Linked DNA regions of Cricetulus griseus. The protein of the gene in region 1 purifies or fractionates together with the protein of each later gene. This does not show direct contact. Links are inferred from orthologs where the notes say so. Each region holds a gene or a part of one and is shown in the gene's direction. Other genes may lie near its edges. The genes, in order: Ift57, Ift172 and Traf3ip1.

The links.
Region 2: the proteins of Ift57 (region 1) and Ift172 purify together in Homo sapiens (affinity purification with mass spectrometry; 3 studies listed by BioGRID and IntAct, counting the BioPlex papers as one, with this or other methods). This does not show direct contact. The link is inferred for Cricetulus griseus from reciprocal best matches to the Homo sapiens genes IFT57 and IFT172.
Region 3: the proteins of Ift57 (region 1) and Traf3ip1 purify together in Homo sapiens (affinity purification with mass spectrometry; 3 studies listed by BioGRID and IntAct, counting the BioPlex papers as one, with this or other methods). This does not show direct contact. The link is inferred for Cricetulus griseus from reciprocal best matches to the Homo sapiens genes IFT57 and TRAF3IP1.

What each region holds. Positions count from the first base shown.
Region 1 is NC_048597.1:41,461,520-41,465,269, reverse strand, and holds the start of Ift57 (intraflagellar transport protein 57 homolog), read left to right. Parts: upstream 1-1,034; 5' UTR 1,035-1,157; coding exon 1,158-1,369; intron 1,370-3,624; coding exon 3,625-3,750. UniProt on the Homo sapiens protein: Required for the formation of cilia. Plays an indirect role in sonic hedgehog signaling, cilia being required for all activity of the hedgehog pathway.
Region 2 is NC_048600.1:13,095,434-13,099,183, forward strand, and holds the start of Ift172 (intraflagellar transport protein 172 homolog), read left to right. Parts: upstream 1-1,152; coding exon 1,153-1,191; intron 1,192-3,750. UniProt on the Homo sapiens protein: Required for the maintenance and formation of cilia. Plays an indirect role in hedgehog (Hh) signaling, cilia being required for all activity of the hedgehog pathway.
Region 3 is NC_048595.1:443,047,190-443,050,706, forward strand, and holds the end of Traf3ip1 (TRAF3-interacting protein 1), read left to right. Parts: intron 1-95; coding exon 96-319; intron 320-1,136; coding exon 1,137-1,302; 3' UTR 1,303-2,870; downstream 2,871-3,517.

The sequences.
Region 1 (3,750 bases):
GATTTTAGTTATGGAAAAAAATGTGATTCTTCTACATTCTTTAGAGAGTCATACAAGATGTAATGATGCCTTGACAGCCACAGGATTAAACTAACAAATGTTTGACCTCTTGCTTCTGAGTTATCTTTTAAGAAGTGGCTGAGCAGCTACTTGGCTTCGCTTCTTATTTTAACTGTTAGTAAAACTGCCTGATGGGCTATTTTCTTAGCATTGTAAGAATAACTTACACTAGTGGTCAGTTACATCTCCTTTGTATTTTCTAGGTCAATACCTGAAGACATAACAGCAAAAATGCCCTTATCAACCATAAGCGCTGTCACACAGACGTTCCTTTCCAAATAGTGCGTTTTGTTGGATTGCGCTTCTACTCACGAATTTACGTCTGCATAGGTTTGAAACAGATTAAGCGGCAGGATGTGAGGGTGGCACAAATACTTCCCCAAACCCATTCTTACCACTTCAACTTCCACGTGCCCCTCCCCCCGCCACCCTCTTTCAATCAACCACTTTCTCCATTGAAGACAGGGTCATAGTAAGACCTCAAGCCTTATTTAGAATACTCTATTCAATCTAGCACTACCTAACAAACTATTAAGTTAAGAAATAGAGAAAGCAGTCTTGTGGTTGGAATTTCCGAGGTACCTTGAAACTAATGACAGCGAGTTTCACAACTACTACGAAAACTAAGGATCAGTGGGAGAGTAGCCTCCAGCACTGTGTTCCGCTTCATTTCAGTCCTTTGAATTGCTACCCAGGTGACCAGACATTCACCAGCCCCGAGCAAACAACCAGATCCTGCTCTTCTCTAGGCTGCACTAGGTTTGCAGAGCCAAACAGCCGCCAATCCTTCGCCTTTAAGGCGCGAGGGAGAGAGTTGCCAGAGAGGCTGGGGAAGGGTCGCCACGCCTATTGGGCGGGTCTACCTCCCAGCCTGGGGGCGGGGATAGCGTGACGTCAGTTAGGAATCCAGCTCTGGTTGGCCAGAATTTAGAGGGGCCGTCTGGGCGCGAAGGAGGCGGGGTGTGGTTGCCGTGGTGACCGGCGGCCCTGCGGTCGCCAGGTAACGGTGGCGGCTGTGTGGGCTACGCGGTGCTGGCGGCTGAGGCCGCGGAGATCCTGGCCCGAGCCCACGCCGGGCTCTGTGGGTCTGAGCTGCGATGGCTGCGGCGGCAGCAGTGATCCCGCCGACGGGCTTGGAGGATGGGGTGTCTCGGGCTCGCGGGGAAGGCGCAGGGGAGGCGGTGGTGGAGCGCGGGCCCGGCGCGGCCTACCACATGTTCGTGGTGATGGAGGACCTGGTGGAGAAGCTGAAACTGCTCCGCTACGAGGAAGAGCTCCTCCGAAAGAGCAATCTGAAGCCCCCGTCCAGGTGCGTGTCTTGTCCCCGGCGCCCGGTGCTGGCTGGGCCCAAGGGGACGCACTTCTCTAGAGGAGAAGACCCTGAGTTCTGATCCGCACATTGCCTTCCTGTGTCTTCCTTGCCCAGGAAGAGAACTTGTGCACAGAGGAAGGTGAAGTTTTCAGACTTGGTCATTTTGTGGAGAAAGTAAACAAGTTTTGTAATGGCAGGGAGGCCCGGGGAAGACAGCCTACCCGTTCTTTAAAACAGTTAAGCACCTCAACCAAACACAAATCTTATTTTAAAGGTAATAAAACACCCATAGTAAAAGGTAAACGCGATAGAAAAACTGATCTATTAATGCCATTATCATTGAGATCTCTTTGCAGTTTTTGTTTTCCTTTGCTAGACTTTCTAAACGAACAACTGTGTACTTCAGGCCTCCTGAGGAGCAAAACATGTAGACTAGTTGCGATGGTTCAAAAGTCTTAATGCTTTTGCAGCAACAGTACTCTTAGAAACTGGAAAGTGGAGAAGGCAATGAAAATGAAAAGTGTTCTCATATAGAACCTAACGACCCGGTGCTTGATGGAAAAATGTTCGGGAATATCAGGAAGTCAGAGCCATTAGTTGCCTGAAGTGAGAGACAGCACCCTCTCATGTATTCATGATACCTTGGTGATAACTGTGATTTATTGCTGTTCCTTTATTGTTGGTATTTATTTGTTTTGTTCTGTTAGAAGCAAATAAAAAGAATTGTCAAGGGTGCTTTCTTTTACTGTCTACAGGTAGGCTCAAATAAATTCTCTTGACAGTTTTCAGTTCTTGTCATCTTCCAGACACTCATGTTGAAAGATACTTAGGCTTTTATGCAAACTGTCCATAACACAGAGTTAGTCTGTAAAAGGAGAAAAGTTAGAGAAGAAAGTTCATCTTGATCCTGATCCATGATTAGAAGTTTTAGGATTGGATTATTATTTAAAATGAATTGATGATAATAACACAGATGGCCAACACTTTAGGTGTTCTGAAAACTGTTAATTTTTTTCAAATGCATTTGTCAAACAAAAGGAAACTGGCCTATGCTATTATTAATATCTTGCTGTACTAAATCTCAAAGGGTGAGTGAGACACTTCGTGCCATGGATTTGTGTGGATGTATTCTAGCCAGTGGTTCAAGGTGTCAGCATCACCTGGGAATGGAGGCCCTTGTCCAGGTCTGCTTTTTCAGAGTTCTGGAAACAAAGTGTTTCACCAACCCCTCTGGGTGATTCTGATGTACCTCGTGCTTGAGAACCACCTTCACAGGCCCCTGTGTCACTGTTCATTCCTCTGTCGGTGAGGAGTGCCCATTGATAAAGAAAACACAGTTGTTGGTGGAGAGATCCTTTATAAGCCTATGCCTGAAAAGACTTCATAACCCTTTAAAATTTCCTCGATTTCTATTTTCTTCTAGAACATTTATATTTTCTTGATAGAAAATAGAAGTATAGACCACTGATTCCTATGTCATAATTGAATATGTATATACACATAATCTGTGTAATAGTGATAGCGCAAAGAAAGCAAAGCAGATCTCTGATTCAACTTTCTTGAGTGATGTTACTTAGACCTTTTATGCCCTCTATGGCTCTGTATAAATCATATCCTCATTGGAGGATATTTAGTATAATAAGGGGTTTAGCAAAATTCAGCAGTTGTGATCCTGGGGGATGTGTTCTTAGTTCTTGCTGCACCCCTGGACCATCTAAGTTGGGAACTTTTGAAATGCACTTGTGATGTGTTCTGTTCCCACAAGTTGTGATTATCCATGAATGGGGGAAGCCCAGGCTTTCGCCATCTAGTAGTACTTTTAGGAACTGGTTTGAATATACAGAAAATATGGAAACAGCTGTTTGACATAGCTGATAGGTTACAAACAGCAAAAACATGGTAAATTATTAGTGCTTCTTAAATTCCAGGAGTCTCATAATTCAGAATTACCTTTTTTTTTTTTTTAGGGGAAATTCACTTATAAGCAAGCAATTAATCAAGTTCTACAAAAGCATCATGTATTTATTTTCCAAAATATACTTCCTTCCATTCCCTGGTTGTGTACTTTGTATACAGTAGTGACTGATTGAAAATTTTGTGAGTGCTGCAAATCTCTAGATAGTTCCAGAGTGTTGGTGAAGGCTGCTTGGGGGCATATTTAGCAACTGTGGACTTGACTGTGTTACTTACTCCTAGCTGATTTGCTTTATCTCTCCCTTTCTCCCTTCCCATTCTCCCTTGCTTTGAAACAGACACTACTTTGCTCTGCCTACCAACCCAGGTGAGCAGTTCTACATGTTTTGCACTCTTGCTGCTTGGCTGATCAACAAAACAGGGCGTACCTTTGAGCAGCCTCAAGAATACGACGATCCCAATGC
Region 2 (3,750 bases), on another chromosome or scaffold:
CCTCTACTTGTTCTTGATTTTTCAAGAGGGAGGTAGCGGCGGGGAGAGAAATATTTGTTGCCATTGGCAACTGGTGTGCATGCAAAGCTTGGGGACCCAGCTTCTGTCTGGAGAGCATATGTTATGCTTTTAGTGGGGTATAGGTCTTGCCAATCTGGGACAGTCTAGACAGAGAAGGCCTACGGAAATCTCCTTTTCTGCATTTCATGCAATTTCTCTGATATGTTGCAAGAAATTAGAACAAAAAATTTTTGAAAGGATCCCGATCAAACAAAATAAAGACAACGGTATCTTTTCTGAGCCAATCTCCAACTCCAATGTCACACAGCTCCAAGCTAGGAGGGCGGCCAAGCTCTGTCTGTCCGCTGCGCTGACCCATAAGTCAAGATTGAACTCACCATTTACCCAAAAGCCAAATAGGGTGCCTTGCGTTTCCCTACCGGTGCTTCCAACACATCCCTCAAAACCCCGGATCATTTCCTGAGACTGTTACAGGGGAGAGAAGTTGAACATGGAGACAATGAGTTAAGATTTGAATCGTCTTACAGGAATTAAAAGGATATCAGCTCTGCCTTGAATCCCGGTTCCACAGTTTACTAGCTGTGACCCCTCCTGTTGTGTAAAACGGGACTGTACCTCTGTCCACTTCAGGCAGGTAGCATTCACTATTACCTATCAGTTTTGAGCGGCCTCGTGCAACTTTCGAGGCGTGGGGGCAGATGAAGATTGCAGTTCAGCAAATTGGCTTTCTCCTACCGTAGCACCTGCCTTGCTCTTGTCCAAAGTTTAAGCAACTAAAGCGCACTTGGCTGAACACAGCAGTGAGAGAAACTAGGGTTAAAGGGATGTAGGGTCGAGGGGCGGGGCTGGGGAGGGCGGGGACAGACGAAGACCTGTGGGTGGGGCTTTGCGTTGGGTTTGCATGCAGCAACGGGATTGGTTGAGGAGAGAATTCGACAACCCCTCTTCTAGGACTCACTGCGCTTGCGCATGTCCTGCTTGCATTGTCGCGAACCCACTACGTGACCTCATGACGTGTGTCGCACTCACGTCTCCCGTGCGTCAGCGGCTGGCGACGCCGCTGCTTGGCGGGTTGTCCAGGTAACCGCGGGAGTTGTCTCGGTCAGCGAGCATCTGAGACTCGTGCGCGTCATGCAGTTGAAGCACCTGAGGACCCTGCTGAGCCCTCAGGTGAGGAATCGCGTGCCTCTCCCATTCCCCGGCCACCCGGCGTTCCAAAAAAAAAAAAAGTGGGGGAACAGAAGTTTATGTTGAGCGCCTACTGTGTGCAGAAGATTGTGAAAGATCTTTCAGTAGGCAACATGCATCGGTTTCGTTGCATCACAAACATCAGATGAGTGCCAGGCCCCAAGCTTAGGCTCTAAAGGATCGAGTTGCGTCACAGGCTATGAGGGAGAGGCGCATATATAGACAACAATCATAAATCTACACAGGATGAAATAAGTGCAAGGCCAAACCTTCATTTTGATTGTGAAAGTGTGTCTCGTATTCACAAGAGGCTGGGGAAGGAGTCCAGGAACATAAAGGAAGAAGAGGTTTGGGAGTGAAGGGAACGGAGTTCAAGTATAGCACTGATTTGATCAAATGGTTATCTCTGGCTTTAACCCTCATCATACGTGGTCTTTCTATCACTGGCTTCTTCATTTGGGAAAGAAAAGCCACAGTAAGAGTAACTCTGAGAGACTTAGGAGAGAGTTAAATGAAGTCCTATACACACACGCACACAATAAGCTGGGCTTGGTGGCACTGAAGACCGATAATCCCAGAAATTGAGAAGTAGACACAGGAGGGTCAGGAGTGTAAGGCCATTATCGACTACATAGAGAGTTCAAGGCCAGCCTGGGCTGCATGAGATTCTATCTTGAAAAAAGAAAAAAATTGGGCCAGTGAGATGGATAGATAGTTACAGGCACTTACCACTCAGCCTGACCTACCTGAGTTTGAAGGGAAACACCAAGTCATGAAAGTTGTCTTCTGACCGACACACATGCACCACCTTACCACACACAATAAACAAATTTAAGGAAAAACTTTGGGGGGCGCGGTTTTCAAGACAGGGTTTCTCTGTAGCTTTGGAGCCTGTCCTGGAACTCTGTAGGCCAGGCTAGTCTCAAACTCACAGAGATCCACCTGCCTTTGTGTCCCAAGGGCTGGGATTAAGGCCTGTGCTACCACTGCCAAGCAGGAAAAACATTTTTTTTCTTTATTGATTCTTTATGTCTTCACACCATACATCCAGATCCCACCCATCTCCTGTCCCCTCTAATCTGCTCTCTGCCCTTCAAACTCTCCCCCAATAAAACAAATTTTAAGATTAAAAGAAAAAGGAAAAGAAGAAGAAACAAAGAAAGGAAAAGTCTCATCATGGAAGCTGTAGGAGAACAAACTGAGTCATGCATCAAACCCCTTTATCCAGTCATCTTTACATTCAGGCATTCATTGCAAAGAATCATTGGTTTGGCTTGAGGCCCCTGGTCTCTGCTGCACTGTTGACACTGGGCCTTAAATGGGACTCTTTCTGGAAGCCCTATTGTTGCTCTGTGTCGTGAAAGTGTAAGGAAAACGATTTAAAGAGCATTATAAACTGAAAAGCTGTGTGAAGAATGGTAGACACAAGGGAAGGCCATGGAAATGGGAAGGACAGGCTAACAACACAAATAAGAAGGTGGGCTGTGAGGCCATGGCTCCATAAGCTCAAGAAACTGAGTTCAGATCTCCAGCATCCACTTAAAAACCAGTCACACTGGGGAGGCAGAGACGGTTGGGTCCCTAGAGCTCATTGCCCAGCCAGCCTAGCCAAATTTATGAGCTCCAGGGTCAGTGAGAGACCCTGTCAACAAAAATAAATAAAAATAAAAAATTAAGGTGGAGCTGGGCAGTGGTGGTGCTCAACTTTAGTCCCAGTGCTTGGGAGGCAGAGGCAGGCAGATCTCTGTGAGTTCGAGGCCAGCCTGGTCTCCAGAGTGAGGGCCAGGAGAGGCTCCAAAGCTACACAGAGAAACCCTGTCTTGGGGGGGATTTAAAAAATAAAAGAATAGTGAGGCATGGTGCATCGTGCCTTGAGGCAGGCAGATATCTGTAAATTCAATCCCAGTCTGGTCTACAAAGTGAGTTTTAGAACCACATAGAGAGACCCTACCTCAAAAATAATAATAATGATGACAATAATAAATAAAATTATATGGCAGAATTAAGTCATTAATACATATATACCATGATAGCATAATTAAAGACATTAGATTTATAGCTCATGGAATCAAACATACATAGATTCAAATATTGCATCTGTCATCTAAAAGCTATCTACATAAATCTGAGCAACTTTCTTAATTTTCAGTGCCTCAGTTTCCCCATATACAAAATGGGAATAATAATAACTTCTTTCTCAGAGATATGATATTTGGTACTTACTGGGTGTCAAGCACTTATGAAAATGTCTGTCCTGCTACCTGTTTCACTTAATCCTCAAGACATGCCAGTCGGGCACTTATTGCAAAGAGAGGCGAATCCGTTGGTTATGGGACTCTGGGATGTTTTTGGAGTGCACTGAGAGTAGAAGTCAATTAGAAGAAAGGAGAGTTGTAGGGGATGGAGCCCTGGCTCAGTGGTAGAACAATAAAAAGTTGTACTCCTTGTTCAGTAAACTGGTGCTGTAATCTGTATTTTCAAAATCCCCTAATGGAAAAATTGGAAATAGAACTCTTTGGTCTCTTAACAAAAAGATGATTT
Region 3 (3,517 bases), on another chromosome or scaffold:
CAGGTTTTCCTTTCTTGGAACCCACTTGGGGTGCTGCCTCTAACTTGCCTAGCTCACTCCTAAAGACCTTCTCTTCCTCCTTCCCCTAACTGAAGGAGCGCTCACTCCTCTTTGAGTCAGCATGGAAGAAGGAGAAGGACATTGTTTCCAAGGAGATAGAGAAGCTCAGAGTGTCCATCCAGACCCTGTGTAAGAGTGCACTTCCCCTGGGAAAGATCATGGACTACATCCAGGAGGACGTCGACGCCATGCAGAATGAACTGCAGTTGTGGCACAGTGAGAACAGGCAGCACGCTGAGGCCCTGAGCAAGGAGCAGAGGTGGGGCTGCAGAAGGGAGGGGGTGGGGCTGCAGAAGGGAGGGGATGGGCTGCAGAAGGGAGGGGGGGGGCTGCAGAAGGGAGAGGGTGGGGCTGCAGAAGGGAGGGGTGGGCTGCAGAAGGGAGGGGGTGGGGCTGCAGAAGGGGAGAGGTGGGGGATCTGAACGAGATACTGATGAACTCATCCAAAATTGTAACTGAAAGAAATAGACTAGCCACTGAGAAGTGAGGTTTATTTGGAAAGCTGTTTTATTTAAAGGACATTTATTTAGAAAGGTCCCCTGCGTTTGTAATCAGTAAATCTAGAAGCACATGACTGTTAACATGTGGCTTTTTCTTCAGAACATACGATTTGACTGAGTGGTACGTCTGTAAGTCCATGTTACAGAAAAACAGAGGAGAGGTGTCGCCTGGCTGGTCCAGGCTGAGCCCAGTGTCTGTGGGGACTTGGTAGCCCACTTCCCTGCTGCCCCTTGGTCTTTTGTGTGTGTGTGCTTCAAGGACTTCAAGCCTGTCACTGAGGAAATAGTAGCTCCTTTTCATTTTGCTTTTGAAAGGGAATCTCATATGGGCTAGGGAAACAGCTCTGTAGTAAAGTCCCTTCCTAGCATGAGGCTCGGGTTCTCTCCCTGGTTCTGTGGGAAGAAAACAAGTGATTGGCATTTTCAGGCTTGGTTGCACCACAGGCCTGGCAGTTGTAAGTGGTGCCTGGGGTCTGGCACTTAACCCTTTTCTTGGTGAAGTCAGCACTTTGCTGGAGGGAGCAGTACAGACAGAACCCTCAGGACACTGATGAGCTACTGGTTGTCTCCCCCCAGCATCACGGACAGTGCGGTGGAGCCCCTGAAGGCAGAGCTATCTGAGCTGGAGCAGCAGATCAGGGACCAGCAGGACAAGATCTGTGCTGTGAAGGCCAACATCCTGAAGAATGAGGAGAAGATCCAGAAAATGGTGCACAGTATCAACCTGACGTCACGAAGGTGAACAGCCAGCCCTGCGGAGATGGAGCCGTCTTCCTCATGATGGGAGAAGGGGAAGGAGACAGACATTCTGCCCCAGTCTGCTGAGAGCATGGACTGCAGATGCCTGGACCCAGCTAAAGTCAGAGCTTTCGGTTTAGGCACTAAACTTATTAAAAGGCTGTGTTTTTTTACTTCCAGCTGCAGTACTTGCTACTTTAGTTTTCAGCTTGCCTTTGTGGGAGGGCTTATTTCTCTGGGTTTTTTTGTTTGTTTGTTTGTTTGTTTGTTTTTTTCTTTTTTGGCAAATGTTTTCTGCTGCAGCCTGTTTAATCCTGTACCCAAAGTTTCTAGCAGGTAAGTTGTGTCATGCTACTGGGGAAACTGCAGGCCTTTATTCTGCTTCTGAGTCTCCCAGAAGGACTTCCTACCAGCACCGAGCAAAGGGTGACTGTGGACTTTGTGGTGTGTACTTTACAAATAGAAAGAGAACAAGGCCTCAAACGATTAATTTCACTTTCATTTCTACCTGAAAGGGGTATTCCAGCCGGTGTCCTTGAAAGGTGCCTGTCACCTGTGCAGGGTTTCTGCCCTTACTATCATACCTGCATCTTCCTGCAGTCTCTCATGGCCCTGCCGTCTGCCTTCCTGGCAGTTCATATGCTGAAAATCAGTCTGCCCTTCACGGATCCATCTGATGGGAAACTGTCGCTGTTCACCTCCTTGGCTTTCTTCAGCCTCCAGGGTTCTTCTGGTGGATAAGCAGTCCCCCAGGCCTCCTAGGACTTTGTAACATGAAGGGCAGCACAGCCCTTTTCTTCTGTGTAGGTGTGTGCACTGAGAGCTGGGAGAGAGGGAGACTGCAAGGAAGACAGCATACCAATTCACAGTTGCGTTTGTTTTCCTTTTCTAAAGGTCCTTTTTTTTTAAAGCATAGTTTTTATGGTTTATATTCAGTTTTCGCCAACGTAAAATACTGTAAATACTTATAAAGGTCTTGAATTATTGTCTAAAGGATCTCAGGCTTTGGAGATGTTCTTGTGGCTTAAGGTCTGAGATGGTCCTTACGTTTCTGAGTATTTATTATGTTCACGAAGGCGAGCCCTGAGCACATTGTTTCCTGAAGGCTTGCACATGTGGCACAGTTACTGTTTCTCAGTCAGTGAAAAGCAGCGGCCCAGCCCTCAGCCTGGGGCTGTTGCCACAGTGTGGAGACTCCTTCAGTGGGTAGTCTTTCTCCTGGCTGAAGCACACCACACTTCTCTCCCACCCAGATCCTTCTGAATAGTTTGAGGGGGATGGGAAGGGAAGGCTTGTAGTCAACTAGTCTTTTTTATGTTGATAATCTCTTTTCTACTAAAGTGAATGGCTTAGCCATAACTGTAAGTGGACCCTCTGTAGCCCAAGTTAAGACATATATATATTCATAACCTTTTATGAATTTGTATATATGAATAGAATTTTTATGTTGCAAAAATTACATACATTGTATGTGAGTAAATTTTATATGCTGTAGTCTATCAGATTGTATCATAAAGTTTTATTTTTCTTTTTTACATAAATCATTAAAATAATCACCTATTTTTCCTATAAGTGTATGGGTTGTCAAGTTGATAAAAAAATGTAAGCTTTTGGACTTTTAATTTCAGATGTGTCCAGGGGAAATAGCTTCTCATCCAGACTGTGACACAATGCTTTTCCTGTAGTGATTGACACTTTGTGAGCTCGCTCCTCTTCTGCTAGAAGGTTTAAGATGGCATGAGGCATTTCTGAAGGCCTGTATTGTGACTGTCTTTGTTTTGGGGATATACACATTAAGCCCTGACCTTACTTTGAGAGAGTACAGAAGTAGAATTCCTAGGTGTTTCCCTCGCTGGTTTATAAGTTTCTAGAAGGATGGAGTTACACGGTATTGTGTAACTCCATCTGTGAAGTTACAGATTCAGCTGACGTTAATCCGAGCCTGGAAGAAATGTGTTCAAGTCGCCTGGGGTGCAGTGGGGAGATGTTCCAGTGAGTAAAGTATTCACTGTGCAAGTGCGAGGACCTGAGAAGGGACCCCAGAACCCGCATCAAACAGCCAGATGTGGTAACTCACATCTGCAGTCCCAGAGCTCCTACAGCAGGATGGGAGACAAAGGGGCGTCCTCAGGGGCTGGACCAGCCTGGTCTATGCAGCAGCAAACAAGACCCTGCCTCAGATGAGGTGGAAAGAGAGAACTGACTTCAAATGTGCATCT